Linked DNA regions of Drosophila melanogaster. The gene in region 2 interacts genetically with the main gene of each other region. Each region holds a gene or a part of one and is shown on either strand. Other genes may lie near its edges.

Region 1 (4,948 bases), on a different chromosome or scaffold from region 2:
TTATTCCAAATTAATAGAATATATGTTAATATTTTTATAATCTGAAACACGGAAAAGACAACAACTAAAATGCAATTTAAATTATTAAATAAAAATGAGCAAACTTGGTTATTTAAACACTTGCCTGTTATATGGCATGTTACTCTGCAAGCAACTGTCGAAAATCAACTTTTATTCTGTGAATTCTTAGATATGAAGTTAAATGAAGTGCAAATAAGCTATCCCCCAAATTAAAGTGGTCCAGAGTGCTCGAAATTATCGTCCATCTCTAACGCATTTTAAAAACGCAAGTGGCTGGTCTCACTCATGTTATTCCACATTATATTTTGTATTGCATTCTATTTTATCTAAGCTAGCAAATATATTTAAGGCAACTAGACTAAATGTTAAGCATTCGTGTTTTAAGGCTACAAAATGGACACTCCGTTCTTAACAACGCCTGCCAATTGGCACTTTCGCGAAACAAGAGCTCCAAAAGGTCGAGCAAAGACAACGTAACGCGACAGGGAAAAATATTTGGCTCGTTGTTTGGAAATCGGCTTAAAGGCAGCAAAAGCCATTGGTATCCATCGCCCGATGCAGGAACATCAGGCAATCAAAAGTCGCTGCACGCCTTAAAGTTTGGAACCCCACACTCGAAGACAACTTGCAGCCACAACAATCGACGCATGTCTGTTCTGAACAAGTTGTTCATGACGAACATCACTGATATTCTGGCCACCGGCGCAGTTGCCGATTCCATCGTGGGACACGGAGTGCAGATTTCCTATGTCAAGATCACCAGCGACTTCTCCCGCATCAATGTCTATTGGATGGGCAAGGATGGCGGGGAGAACCAAGAGCTCGAGAACACATTGAATCGCATGAGCGGCAAACTGCAGCACGAGCTATCGCAGCTCCATCTGATGGGCGAAGTGCCAAAGATCAAGTTTGTCCGGGACAAAACGAGCACTGGTCTCCATCAGGTCCACGAGGTTCTGTCCAAAATCGATCTTCAGCACAGTTACTCTAGTTCAAATGCGGAAGTTGAAGAAAGCGACGCACAGAGTTGTCAGACGGCTGCGGATGAGGAATGGCCGGAGATGCGACAGGATTTCCTCAGTTTTAACCATAGCTTAGTTATGGACAAGATTCTCGGCAAGATGCGCAAGTCCAAAGATGCCTGGGTTAATCATAGACAAAATATTGCGAAAACCTAACGTTTGTTAAATCCCTCGACTTATGTACATAATGTTAATTATTAAAGTGTTATTCAATCCAATGTAAATTGGGTTCTAAAGTTGAAAATAGGGGTAGGGTCTGTAAACGTTTAATCATTTTCCAATAAGTTTGAAATGTTGGCTACTTTTATCCCAACTAGTTCATCATGTTGAGTGGTTTTAAAATAGAGTATCGATTGCGTTTCTAAAAAAAAGCTTTAACGGCTTAAAATTGAATGTCAAAGGTCAAATCATTACCATACTCGATTATGTTATTATGCTTTTAAAGCTTGCGCACTGCATCTGTATCTGTTATCGATATAAAGCAAAAACGCAGAAAAGCCGGACATGCGCATAAAATGAATAGTTTTATAAGCTTTTAGTATTGGTTATATATTCCCTTCAGGATATGCATATTGTAGATGTGCATTTAATTTAATAAATAGATAGATAATTACTTGTAAGTTAATGTAATCAAATCAGCTGTTTTTGATAGTTGCGATAGTAGGCGACCTTGCGCTTAAATTGATATCGATGTCGGATAAAGCACTGGACTTGTTATCGAAACCAACACTTAGCTTCGGCATACGGAAACTATTCGATATATCGATGTATCGCGAGTGATTCACCCAGCCCTATCAATTATACCAAAAAAAATCAGACCAGACCAGCTTATCGGGTACAGATTGATTACTTTCTTGCATCTCTAGTTTTAGTCGAAAAAATCCATTGAAACGATTTGGAAGCGGAGTGTGGTGATAGTTGTCAGTTTTGCACAATAAGAAGAATATTTGTTTAAAAGACCAAGCCAAAGCCCAAATCGCAGTGCGCTCTTTGTGGCGATAAACATGACATCTACACTAACACAACACAGTTACGCCTGAGAAATAAGTGACAAATTGGAAAAGTCGATGATAAATTCGTTTGGGAGTATATATACAAATTATTTTCGTGTAAATGTCGATAAACACTTTTGCTCGCAAAACCCAACAATCATACCCGTCTTTACCTTCTTCGCGATTCCAATTCCGATTCCAATAAGTTTCGCTACATCGCCATTATAATCCGAAGAAGCAAGAAAGGTTATTGTGGTGGTACATACAATATATCGGGTTGGTTAATCGTGTGGGAGAATGAGTAACTCATGAGTGCTCTCCAATAACGATTTCTGTTTGCAATTTTCCCCATTCCCCCACGATTTACGCATATTTGTTATTAACCACCACCCCCACCGCCGCACACAAATTTTGTCAATTTTTTTTTTGTGTTATCTATACAAACGAAAAGAAAAGTGATGGAACGCATGAAAGTATTTATAATGCAGCAATTGTATTTTGCAGAGGAGTGTGTGCAGTGAAGTAAAGCCAGCGATTAAAGGAAACAGCATAGAAAAAAAAAAGACCCGGGAGCTGAGCAGTAAAAACACAAACATCCGGACGAGTTGGGATCGCAGTTCGATCTGATCTGATCTGATATCTAATCTAATCTAATTGTGAGGGAAATCGGACCTCGCCGCAATGGATAGTTTAATTACAATTGTTAACAAGCTGCAAGATGCGTTCACATCGCTCGGCGTCCACATGCAACTGGATCTGCCGCAGATCGCGGTGGTCGGTGGCCAGTCAGCTGGCAAGAGTTCCGTTTTGGAGAACTTTGTGGGCAAGTGAGTATCCCCCGCACGCCTTATCAGCATATTATCCTCTCATATGGGATCATACTATCATACCATATCACCCTATCAGCACCCCAAATATCTAGCCTACATATATTGTGATTGATAATGGACCTGAAGAGACCCCTCTTTGGCATGCAGCGAATCGATTTTTCTGCACGCCAGTGCTCAGCGAAAAGTAGCGCTATTCTTTCTATTATGTCTGCGTTTCGTGGAATGCCCAATTAAATGTTACTGAAAAACTATGAGTAATCGCTGATAGCACTCGCTTTCAGGCATTATTATTATTTTTTTTTTTTTTGGTTGTTTATTAACAATCAATAATTGGTGTCTACGAAACAAGTGTACTTGCTCATAATGACCAAACCATATCAGTGGTCTTAACTTAATTATGATAATAAGAATTTTATCTTTCACCTGCACAAAGCTGTTGAAAATCCAAAAGCCCCGCAGCTCTGCAAACTATATTCACAAAACGAATTGTAGAACATCTACGTATACGTATTTTGAATTTTGTTAAACAGAAATCTAAATTGTATGTATCAATGCGATTTCTTGTGTGTTTGTATCTATAAGCCTGCGCTGTCTCTCATTTTTCTTTGTTAGTGTCCACTCTAAATACAAACATATAAAGAAAACAATGGCTTACGCCCCAAAAAAATGCAGATAAGGCCAAAATGATAGTGTGTCGGCGATTTAAGTTTTTCCCCACTCTTGCCCAACGATTGAGTAGAGTAACTCACATTCTATATGTTTACTTTCGAATATATTTGTAAAAGTTTGACCTCCTTTAGAGTCGATTTATTTATTTTTCATAGCTTGCAAATAAGGGGGGGGGGGGGTGCGCTGAAAAAGAACATTAATCAATATGCCCATTCATGTATTTACAAACTGCATTGAGCCATGTAAAGTTTGTGCTTACATAAGTCCACTATGTTCAAAATAGTCCAGTTAGATTTCGCATGCGCCGTGCTTTATATGTATGTATGAATGTATGTATGTGTGTCAATTAGGGTGGTTACCCCGCCCCCCGCCCACCTGACACCACTGAGCCATCGGAGGAAGCGAGAGAGGCAGCGAGACCCACGGCCACGGCAGGCCAAAGTCTTAATGTCAATGGAAAATGAAGGCTTCTTCTAACTCTGGTCAGTGCGAACAGGATGTAGGTGACCAGAGTGTTCAAAATGACCCATTTACCATTTGATTTATTAGCCTAGCTAACAAATAGCTTTACTTTAAGTACTCAGTGGTATTAAACAATGCCCAACACTTTTGGAGTCCTGAAGTTCTCACTTGGAAATTTAAACACTAGCTGCAAGTCATAAGTTAAATTTCCATTAAGTTTTTAGTATTGGCAACTCAAATACTCATTATTCGATGCAATTTCAAAATGTTTTGATACTAGGCTTAATGCTTTCTACATACTTCTTAAGCCCAGTAGTAATATTGTTAGATGAACAGGCTCCACAATCCAAAAACCAAAGACTTCTATGATTCCATTATTAAATACAAAACGTTTTCCCCATTTTACAGAGATTTCTTGCCGCGCGGCTCTGGTATCGTAACTCGGAGACCACTAATCTTGCAACTGATCAATGGAGTTACCGGTAAGTTGAGCATTTGATATGATTAAAGAGAAGCTATCTTCTAATGCTAACATTGATATTTATTGCAGAATATGGCGAGTTCCTTCACATTAAAGGCAAGAAGTTTTCCAGCTTCGATGAGATCAGAAAAGAAATCGAAGATGAAACGGATCGTGTGACCGGTAGTAACAAAGGCATTTCAAACATTCCAATTAATTTGCGCGTCTACTCGCCGCACGTACTCAATTTAACCCTGATCGATTTGCCAGGCCTGACAAAGGTGGCCATTGGCGATCAACCGGTGGATATTGAGCAGCAAATTAAGCAGATGATATTCCAATTTATTCGCAAAGAGACTTGTTTAATTTTGGCTGTGACCCCGGCCAATACGGATCTGGCCAATTCGGATGCCCTCAAGCTGGCCAAGGAGGTGGATCCACAGGGTGTGCGAACCATTGGCGTTATAACCAAGCTGGATCTGATGGACGAGG
Region 2 (2,997 bases):
AACAGAAGTTCTCCATAGAACCGCCCCGAAATACCGCACTGGAACAAGCGAAGCACATATCCCTGCGAAAACAACGCGATGCTGCCTCCATTTTGGAGACCTTTGATCTTCTGGAGAAACTTTGCGAGTCTCGTGGAGGAGACAGAGCCGCCCTTTGCCAAAAACTGACCCACATGCGTCTTGTTTGGCGCAGAGTCCAAGAAGAGACTCAAGCTGGCCATGTCAAGGAGTCCAAGAAGGTGGCTTCACTTGAATCTCAATGGAAGGCTGTGTTCTTCGGCCGATCCTTGCCAACTCCCAAATTAAATAAGGGGAAATTTCTTGAAATTCGGTATGTCTAGGGAAATGCATTGTCCGGCGGGAGCTCCCTTTTAATTGCATCGCTTTTTCCAGCTCCACATGGGATTCTTACATAAGCTACTGTGGAAGAGGCTCCTCTATACCCAGAGGATGGGTGCTACCGCCAACAAAGCCTACAGCTCAGTGGATAGGCTATCGACTATCCTTAACTTAATATCATAGAAACCTTTCCAAAGCTCACACTCCTTATAAAGAAGCAAGATTATATAGTAATTATTGTGGAATTTTATTTCTTTAGAAGAATCAATCTGTATTCAGCTTAGACGAGGGCAGACAGTTAAAGTAGCCGTCTATTCGTAGATCCAGTCCTTGGCGGCCGGGGTCCAGGTGACCAGCTCCTTTTCGTTGAACCACAGGGCGATCTCCTTCTCGGCAGACTCGACGGCATCGGAGCCGTGGATGATGTTGCGTCCGACCTGAATGCAGAAGTCACCGCGGATGGTGCCGGGCAGCGAGTCGGCGGGGTTGGTGGCGCCGAGCATCTGGCGACCGGTCTTGACCACATTCAGACCCTCCCACACCATGGGCACCACGGGGCCGGAGTTCATGTAGTTCACGAGTCCGGGGAAGAAGGGGCGGGCGGACAGATCAGCGTAGTGCTTCTCCAGCAGCTCCTTGGAGGCCTGGTTACAAAACGGTTCGTTATCAGTTAATTGCAGTTCTGACCTCTAAACACATGTCATTCCGCGATGACGCCTGCACCCAGCCTTTGAGGTTAGGTCCGATGGCAACCCCGCGTGGGGCAACCCGTTTCCACGTATTTATATCTATTGATTTCTTCCTAATTCAATTATCCGCTTACCCAGGTGAACTTCAGGGCGACCAGCTTGAAGCCCTTCTGCTCGAAGCGCTCGATGATCTTGCCGACGAGCCCGCGCTGGACGCCATCGGGCTTGACCATGATGAAAGTCCTCTCCTTGTTAGCCGCCATTGTCGCCGAGATTACAGAAAAGAATGCCAAAATTGTGCCGAGCATCAGGAGCTTCATGTGTTCGCCGTTGCAAAAAAATCCCGAATACGAAATGCCGGCAAGGTGAATTGTGGGAAATCGTCAAGTGGTCACACTGGGCAGCCAGCCGCGTTCTTGAGTTTTTGTTTTTGTTGGGCGATTTAAAGGATAGGAAAATACTTGTTATTTAAATTCCAAAGCGGAAATTTGAGTGCATTGCTAAAGTATTCATATTTTTTTCAGTTTATAACCGCTCAAATGGGGCTGCCATGTCGCCTTGTACTTTGAATTTCAGAATGTATTCTGAATGCATTTCATCGAATAATTTAAAGCAAAAATAACGAAAACTCAATAGTATTATTTTTAATTACTAGACACATTAAAACATTTAAAAAAAAACAAAGAGTTGCCCACAGTTGATGATAAAATGCCCGTCAAACTAGGATAGTTACTAGGCACTCATTAGCATCAGCATTCCCACCAGTTGATTCATCCATCCAGCAGGTTAATCAAAAACCACAGGGAAGTCACGTTCAAATTTCTTTTTATGTCTCGATAAGATTAGGTCCATGTGATCACAGAAGTGACAAAACAATACAAGTTTACGACTAATATATACACAGCTGGTAGATGCAAATGTTCGGCGAAAATCACTTGGTCGCGTCTAGTTTGGCTAGGCCGTCGGCATATTGGAACTCCGGACTGTTCTCGTACTCGCACATGTCCAGGGCGATGACGCAGCTCTCCTTGACCACGCGCTTGTCGTCCTCGGCGTAGCGGTTCAAGATCTGAATGCAGTCCTCTGTGGCGATGGCGCCAAGGGCCTCGGCACACTCGTGACGCACCATTTCGTTTTCCAGGCGATCCTCCAGATTCTCTTGAAGGAAGGGAATGCTGCAGGGTTCTTGCAGCTGGCCCAGTACGAAGGCCACCTCGTGGCGGAAGAGGGCGGAAGAGTCCTTAAGTCCCTCGGCAATGGCCAAGACACTCTCTTCGGTGCGCAGATTGCGCAGGCTGAACATGGCCCTATATCGATCGAACAGGCTCTGCTGGGCATCCAGATAGATGGCCTTCAGCTCGGTGACGCTCTTGTCGCCCGCAGTTGGCGGTGAGGGATCAACGGAGGCGTAAGGGTTGCTGTCATCTACCTTTTGGCCACTCTGCAGCCAGCGGACGCGGTCCAGAGCAATGGCACATGTTTCGGCCACCTCCACTACCGGATCTTGTTTGTACTCCTCCAGAATTGGCAGCACATCTGGATGACCAATGGCGCCCATGGCCTCCGCAGCCTCGTGGCGCACCATCGGCTCCTGGGTGGTGTCCTTTAGCACCTTGGTGAGGATGTCTAACGCCTGTGCGTCCTGCATCTGACCCAAGCAGTAGGCCAGCTCATGTTTGAGAAGGGCCGAATCATCGTCAAAGGCTTTGCTGATCGCCTCGATGGCCGCTCCTCCGCCGATGTTCTTCAGCGTGAAGAGGGCTCGAAAGCGCTCTTTCAGTGGGCGTTCCTTGTTGTTCAGAACGCCTCCAATGGCCTCGATTTGCTGCTGCGAAACCATTTGTATGCGGTGTGGACTTATAAATAAAAAACTGCAACGGGCCGCGTGTGGTGTCGCAATGTGGCCATACACTCAGTACTTGGTAATACCAAAACTACAAGTAATCGATATGACGTGGCTATCGATGGA
Region 3 (7,952 bases), on a different chromosome or scaffold from region 2:
TTTTTGAATTACAAATACATATGTACTTTCATTGCAATAATTGGGTTCAAGTCGAAATATGAAAGATCGATATACATACATACATATGTACGTGCGCAGAAAGAAAAACACAACATTGTACTATTTTTATCAATTTTTATATATTTTTAAACCAACCGAAGTTGAGTTTGTTTGTTGGTTTGTCGTTTCGGAGGCGAAAGAATCTACAGGTCTTCGGTTCGATTCTTTGCATCCGATCGATAACACTGATTTGGCTGGGGAGATGTGGGACGACCCAGCAACATGACTGGATCTATAGTATATAGCCTAACCCAAACTTAACAATACTAATCGATATCGTCGCTATGTTCGTTCGTCTTTCAGTGTAGTGGGTCTAGTCTCATGTGCTGAGTCGCATCCTCTCTCTGCCCCGAGCATTGCTGTTTGCTGTAGTATTGTTGTTCTATTGACGCTGGCCATCGTTCCGTAAATTAGTTCCCAGTTTTTATAAATAATATAATTTCATAATTATATCGGGGTGAGGAAGGAAGGGTTCTTGCTGTTATTGCTTGCCGTTGTTCGTGGTAAGAGGTGTTGGTTGCAGATCAAACTTAGCTTATGCCTTTGCTGTTGCTATTGCTGTTGTTTTAGCTTTTCTCATTCAGTTATCTAACATAATTAGCTGGTAGTGTTTAGTTTTACTTCTTTTGTTTTGTTTTGTTGTTGTATGTTGTTGTATTTTGCTTGTTTTGAATAATTTAATAATTTAATTTACAAGACCTTCTTGATCTCATCGTACAACACAAGCACGAAAGCGCCACCAGTTCCTCTGAGAATGTTGGAGAAGGCGCCCTTGAAGAAGGCACCGGTGCCCTCCTGCTTGGCGATGGTGGCCCAGCAGTGCAGTGTGTTCTTGTAGATGACCTCGGTGGCCTTGCGACCAGACTGCATCATCATGCGACGACGCACGGTATCGAAGGGATAGGACACGATGCCAGCGACGGTTGTCACAACCTGGGCGATGGCCCAGCTGATGTAGATGGGTGTGTTCTTGGGGTCGGGCAGCATACCGCGAGCGGTATCGTAGAAGCCGAAGTAGGCGGCACGGTAGATGATGATGCCCTGCACGGACACTCCGAAACCACGGTACAATCCAACGATGCCGTCGCTCTTGAAGATCTTGGTCAAGCAGTTGCCCAGACCGGTGAATTCACGCTGACCACCCTTGCCAGTATCAGCAGCCAAGCTGTAAATTCGTAGCGAAAGCATTACGTTAGTTTATTGGACATTTTTTTTTTGTTTTTCGCAAATATACCAACATACCGAGTACGGGCAAAGTCCAAGGGGTAGACAAAGCACAGAGAGGTAGCACCAGCGGCACCACCGGAGGCCAAGTTGCCGGCGAAGTAGCGCCAGAACTGGGTGTTCTTGTCCACGCCACCCAGGAAGACCTAAGTTACACACATAATAGCAACCGGGGCGTTAGTGTTTTCCGCTCGCATTGCTAACATGCAGACTGCAAAGTCTCACCTGCTTGTACTTGTCCTTGAAGGCAAAGTTCAGAGCCTGGGTTGGGAAGTATCTGATGACGTTGGCCAAGTTGCCGCGCCAGAAGGACGAGAATCCCTGCTCCTTTGGAATGCGGATAAAGCAATCAACCATGCCCTTGTACTGCTTGTCGGGGCTGATTTGTTTCGAGATGTGCTGAACCTGCAGGAGCAGTTTCACACGCTCAATGGGGGCGACGGCAGTCTTGGAGACAGCTGCGGAGATGCCTCCGGCAGCGAAATCCTTGACGAATCCAACAGCATCGAAATCCTTGCCCATTTTGCTGTAAACACATCGTGCAATTGGCCAAAACTCTGATTAATCTCGACAGTTCCGTCATCGCTGATGGTGATACTTGGTGATACCGATGATGATATACCTTTGTGATGTTATGGATGCTGATATATTCCCCATGGCATGCGGGTGATGGTGCGTTGCATAATGGTTACGATATACGTTTACGGTATTTTTGTATAGTGGATGTACGATTCACTTTGTTTACACGGGTGCAAAAAAAGGCACAATAGAAGAATAGCCCAAAGCCAAATGAAAATGTGAAAATTTTCAATGTATTAAATTATAAACCGAAACCGAAAAACATGCACTTTTTTTTTATTTTTTTGAACAGTTATAAACCGAAACCGAAAAACATGCACTTTTTTTTTTGAACAGCACTACAAATGGTTACAAAACATTTTTGCGGGTGAAGTAAAAAGGTTTTAGCGACAAATGAAACAAATAAAAACATGCACAGTTAGTATAAATGGCAACTTAAACTTAATGCTAAAGGGGGTTAATATTGAATGGTTTATGGAAACATCAGCGTTTTGGTTACAATTATTTGTTGTTTGTGTTAGTATGCGTGTTGGCAGTTGCCGGTAAAACTGGTTTTGTGCAAAAAAGGTGAAAAGTTTTATTGGCCGGCTGGTTGCCACGTGGTGGTTTAAATCGATATAAAATAAGTACTGTTGGAAAATTAAGTTCTAACCAGTTAGCTTTGAAAACTAAGTAAAATACATGGCATTACGTGGCATACATAAATACATAAGTGCTTATCTAATTTATGTTATCTAGAGAATATGACATAAATCAATTGCAGTTCTAGTTGGATAGAGCGGCAGTCTACTGGTTTTCATTGAGTAAAGATTGGGGGATTGCATAATTGCCACACCACACAAAAAAAAAGAAAAGAATTGAATTGAAAAAGTTCAATGGAAAAAGCCAATATATATGGGCATTTGAGTGGGTGTGAGCAAGATGGCTATAGAGGCCACGGTTTTTTTTTTTGGCAGTTGGCATTCGCCATTGAAGCGCGTTTTGTTAATTTTAGACTTTCAAGAGCAGCCGCCGCTCTGCGTTAGCCGTGTGGTTTAAATTATATTTTAGCGAAATTAAATCAGCATTTCATTGACAAGGGTTTTATGTAACACACTTGGCAAAGAGAACTGTGCTTTGCCATTGTTTCGTTTCTCTTCTGTTCTCTTTCTTTGAAATAACAACCGTTATCTAATCGTGTTAGACTTTTGATTGGCTGGAAAGAGAGTGAAGCTTTTTCTTCGGCCACAGCCACAGAGAGCCGAGAGCTAAAAGGCTCGTGATGTAATAGCCTCAGCTGGAAAAATTCTACAGTTGCACGTGGAAAGCTTCCACCGAAGGCTGAGCAGTCGTAGTAGTATCCACAATCCAGTGTTAAGTTTATTCTTAATTCATTGTTATTGATTGCATAAGACCACCACCACACACCAGAAAAAAAATTGTTCAATGAATGATTCAAGTTCAACTCTTTTGTTGTTTTACATAACCAGGCAGATTTTCTTTCAATGCTCAGGTTGGATTTGATTTAAAAAAAAAAAATAATAATAAAAGCATTAGGAACCACACGCGTATTTTGTTAAATGGGCTATGGCTCAATTCGATTCGATAATTGATATCCAATTTGTTTGCCATACGTACAATTTGTATTTGTGTTTCTATATCACAGCACAAAACCGAAAAAAATTTATCCTTATTCCTCGGAAGTCAGAAGTCTGAACCGGACGGCAACTGAATTGCTTGTGAAAGTTCCTTTCGCCGAAATCTGCCAGCTAGCCTGCTCTGCCTACGTCGGCGTCGCAGTCGCCGCCATCGTCAAGTTCAGCAACAGATGAGCGTGAGCGAGAGAGGGGGAGAGCGTTCTCTCTCTATATGCATATGCAGAGTATGCGAAATTCGGAGAGAGCCGAAAAAAAACTAGCGGTTGGCAACAGCACGTGTGCGAGCGAGAGAGGGCGAGAGATCGCCGCTTATCAGTGCTGAGAATTCAAGAATTCAATGTCGCCATTCGTTGCATAAGAGGAAGTATTGTACCACACACTTGTACTCATTAGAAAACACTTTTTGTTTCGTTTTGGCCATGACCAAAAATGCATATATGGCCAATTGTTTTTCATTTACCCCTTTCGAGGTTTTCGACGGCGCTTTCTAAACGCTTGCCAAAATGAATGTACGCACAACATTTACATTTGGCAAATAGCCGACAAGTCAGCTGCGAAGCAGACGGATAGTCCCGTTTAGCTAGTTGTTAGCTAGATTTCTAGAAGATTGAATAGTGTACTTCTATTACACCCAAATACATGTCTTCCTTATTCAACAAAATTGGGGTATCTTTGATATTCAGTTTTAAGAACTACTTGGACTGGCTTAGAAAACTTCAATATACAGCAGTGAACAATTTATTCAAATACAAAAACCAAAACTATTATCAATTTTTATAAAAATAAAAGTTGAAAAGAGTTGAAAGGTTTTATTAATTGTTTGTAGCTATTTAATTGCTAAGCTATTAATAACATTTGGCTTTATTTCTAAAGATAGGGTTGGCAGCACTGCTAGCATGTGACTTTGCTTTCTGACGTCCACCTGCCGCTCTCTCCCTCTCTCTCACGCTTCGTCTCTTTCACGCAGGCGGAAGAGGGGCGGCGCTCGAAAAAAAATGCGTGAAGCGATTAGATAAACACTTCTGCTAATACAGTTAATTTATATAACTGTCTACGACACTTTTTCAAGGTCCCGTTATCACAAAAATTACATAAAAAATAAAAGAGAGCTAGTTGCCCATCAAAAAAGAGAGCGTAAAAAATGCAGTTGCAAAGTTACTGCAAAAATGCTTAATTGCCAAAATTAAACGGCAGCGAAGTTATAATTTTTATGGCTCAGTGTGCGATGAATCGGGGTTTTAGGACAGGGCGTGGATCGGCTTGAAAATCACACTGAAAATTTCCGCCGACTGGGCGAGAATTGGAAATGTGATTCGCCAGGGATATGTAATAATAAACACTAATCTCAACCAAGTGCAAAATCGCACTAAAAGGCCACACAAAGGGCTACAATAAACAATAAATCACATGAATACTATACGTACATTAACGATTGACGTCAGAAAGGGTTTAAGGGGTATGGGAATGGAATAATAATAGAAGAAATGAGAACACTGGGGAAACCCGTTTTTTTCGCATGAATTTTTATCTTTAATAAAAGAAAGCAGGTCAGAAAAGAAAGGGAGGCAACCAAAGAGAAATAGTTACATTACTCTTAAGAAATAAAACCAACTCTCTCTCTCTTCTTCACACACACACACCCGATAAGTACTTGCACGCGCAGCTGGTGTCTGGCATGGGAGTGAGCGAGAGGGCGTTAGTGGCACATGGAATTTATTCGCAACTGTGTGTTCATACACACTCATGTGCGACTGGGCGGTAGAACAATCAATTGCCACGCGTTTTACTATAGAATAGCCTGCATTTGGTGTATATAATAATATATTTGTGCAAATGCAGGCCAATTTGATTCTAGAGAAGTGCAATTCTCTTTGAAATATAATCGCAATTCATGTGCAACATTTTTTCGTACAGACGAGCCGGCCTGCCAACTCGTTGCTATTGCATAAGTTGGCAGTTCCAGCGTGGTTGCAAATTGGAAGGAAATAGATGGGAAAAAGATCCAGCGTGGCTTCTTCCATTTTCTTTCTGGGTATTCTAAATGAACTTTGGATTGGGGGTATAAAATACCGAAAAGTTTGCTAATACGCCCAATTTATTACGTGTTTAATTGATGGCAAACACAATTTCGGCACAATTATTTTTCGCAAGGGTTATGTAAGCACTTTTCGGGTATTTTCAAGTCCCATTTCGGGATTTCTTTTCGATGCAGTTAAACCGGAACTGCTTGTCGAACATACAAAAAAAAACGTTAGTTTAAACCAACACCGACACAATAAAAAAATTAGCACATTACATAACTACAGAATCTAGCGCAAGGTGACGTGAATTAATGGGTAAAAAAAAATCAATGGCAGGTACGGGGCACACCGTCTCTTTTCTTGTTAAGCAAAAGAGCCTCGCAAATGTAATAGATATAGAAAATAGCACAATACCTTCAGTTGATAACTTCTCACAAAAGTCACAGAATAAAAACTTCTTTTGCAGAATCAGACGAAGCCGCGTGCTCACTTGGCGAATGAAATTCGTAAAGTGGTGGGGGTCTCGAGGGCCCAGTGACTTGGGGATGAAAGCTGCAAAAATACCGCATATCGATAGTTGCTTTAACTGGTATTTATTCGGCGATCTATCGATATTCAGCTAGATTTCGGTTTTTATTCGTGATATTTTTGTCGGTAACTTTTGCTAGTATAAATAAATATGGCTATTTTTGATGTAATTAAAACCAGTATATTACGTTTTATTATAAAATTAAGGCAAGCGGGGATTGAAGCATCAATATCGATATTTTTTAATACCTTAAAAATATTTTTACATCGACTTTCCCATTATGTTATATTATTTTATATTATATATTATATTATTGCGAGTTCTGAATTACACAAAAGTTAAAGACTATTTTATGTTTTAATAATGGATTCATTACAATTAATCTGCACGCTTCTTTGGGAAATTAACAACGACCTGTACGACCTCCTTTTGCCAAACTATGATAAAAACTAGTTTGAATGTATTGCATTTAACGCGGTTTTTTAATTGCTCTTTTTTTTACAAAAACAAAAGTTTTCTTTTTATATTAAATCAAAGGTTTGTCCAAAATTGGAATATCTCATACCTCGTTGAAATCGTTCCAAATTCCTCATCGAACTGTATTTAAGTCTGGCAACTTTAATTTTTGGCCATTTTTTGCAAATTTGGTTATCGAAAATGAGAAAATCGGTAATTTGTCGAATTTTGATGATGGTACCCCTAATGAAAAATTGCTTAAATTGGTCAAAAAAATTATTCCTGAAACTCGGTTTGAAAGTGTTACAGATTGTTAGCAATGTTAATAAGCAACACAAAACAGTCATCGTTTTAGCTGAGCCACCTTTTTTGGCCAAGTTATTCTGAAAAATGTTTTTCGAAAATATCATATTCTTAATTTTAAAACGTTGTTGAAAAGGATAATCGCAAAACTTGATTCAAAATGCACTTCTTATATACGAAAAATCATTTATTGAGTAAATTTCTTTTCGATTTGTTTTTCACATGTTCACAAAATTGTATTTGAGTTAGTTGTATATCTGGTTTTCTAATATTTTCCTTGGCCTTGGGATACAATTTAGTAAGCTTTTGTGTCTTTTTATTTGCTGTATGTGGGTCTTGTATACGGTAATTTCGTATTGAGCGCTAGCAATATTAACATTTAGTTACACCGAAATGGGGAAAACATCTTACGCAGATTAGTATGTTATGTATACACCTATGTATATCTCTAGTTTTTGAATCAGCACCCTGGGACAGGCCAGAATACTAGGAGTTTTGGGCGTGCTGAGGGGTATGGTAATCAAATGAAGAACCCTTTCTTTTGAATTTCGTTGGTTGGACAGAGGGGTTAATTTAAAGGCAATGGTAAAGGTAAAAGATAAAGGCAAACAAATGCAAAGTACTGGCTAGTAAATACTGGGGCCTCTAAACTATGACGACACATCTAGACATCGAGTCCTATGTCCTTTACGTGGTTATCTAGATTACTTTCGGGTACATATTCCATGGCAGATACAAAACATACACAGAGTGGATATTTGATATATGTATAGTATATTGGTTATCGTGTACCGATTGTGTTAGCGTTTTGCTTGTGGTTAAAAGACAGTTATACAATGTAATTGGGAATATAGTTTTGTTTTCATCCTATTTGTGTGATTTATTCGTTCGCTTTTTTTTTGTTTATTTTTTTTTTTTGTGGTTTGTTTTTGTTTTTATTTAATTTTTTCTTGTATAGGAAACAACAAAAATGGACGCAAAATGATTGTTATAGTAGTATTCATGTTTACCCATCTTGCTTTTACGTTTAGTTAACTATATAGGAATATGCAAAACGTACACTTAATATATTTTTTTTGGTTTTGTTTTACGATTTTGTTACTATGTTCCTTATCGATCTGATACTATATAAATGCAGCTCTA

The links. A genetic interaction does not mean that the proteins touch.
Region 1: of awd (region 2) and shi, changing one enhances a phenotype caused by changing the other (phenotypic enhancement), as found in Drosophila melanogaster (4 studies listed by BioGRID).
Region 3: of awd (region 2) and sesB, changing one enhances a phenotype caused by changing the other (phenotypic enhancement), as found in Drosophila melanogaster (one study listed by BioGRID).

What each region holds. Positions count from the first base shown.
Region 1 is NC_004354.4:15,890,289-15,895,236, forward strand, and holds the start of shi (shibire), read left to right. Parts: upstream 1-1,911; 5' UTR 1,912-1,963; exon of another isoform or gene 1,964-2,293; intron 2,294-2,539; 5' UTR 2,540-2,716; coding exon 2,717-2,862; intron 2,863-4,404; coding exon 4,405-4,478; intron 4,479-4,546; coding exon 4,547-4,948. Other genes in the region: CG15916 (uncharacterized protein), read left to right, coding at 384-1,199. UniProt on the Drosophila melanogaster protein: Microtubule-associated force-producing protein which is involved in the production of microtubule bundles and which is able to bind and hydrolyze GTP. Implicated in endocytic protein sorting.
Region 2 is NT_033777.3:31,744,608-31,747,604, forward strand, and holds awd (abnormal wing discs), read right to left. Parts: upstream 1,471-2,997; 5' UTR 1,337-1,470; coding exon 1,163-1,336; intron 984-1,162; coding exon 651-983; 3' UTR 565-650; downstream 1-564. Other genes in the region: CG1896 (uncharacterized protein), read left to right, coding at 1-331, 394-514; nero, read right to left, coding at 1,960-2,868. UniProt on the Drosophila melanogaster protein: Major role in the synthesis of nucleoside triphosphates other than ATP. The ATP gamma phosphate is transferred to the NDP beta phosphate via a ping-pong mechanism, using a phosphorylated active-site intermediate.
Region 3 is NC_004354.4:10,780,871-10,788,822, forward strand, and holds sesB (stress-sensitive B), read right to left. Parts: upstream 6,038-7,952; 5' UTR 5,936-6,037; intron 3,589-5,935; exon of another isoform or gene 3,481-3,588; intron 2,020-3,480; 5' UTR 1,942-2,019; coding exon 1,907-1,941; intron 1,811-1,906; coding exon 1,510-1,810; intron 1,431-1,509; coding exon 1,303-1,430; intron 1,226-1,302; coding exon 751-1,225; 3' UTR 123-750; downstream 1-122.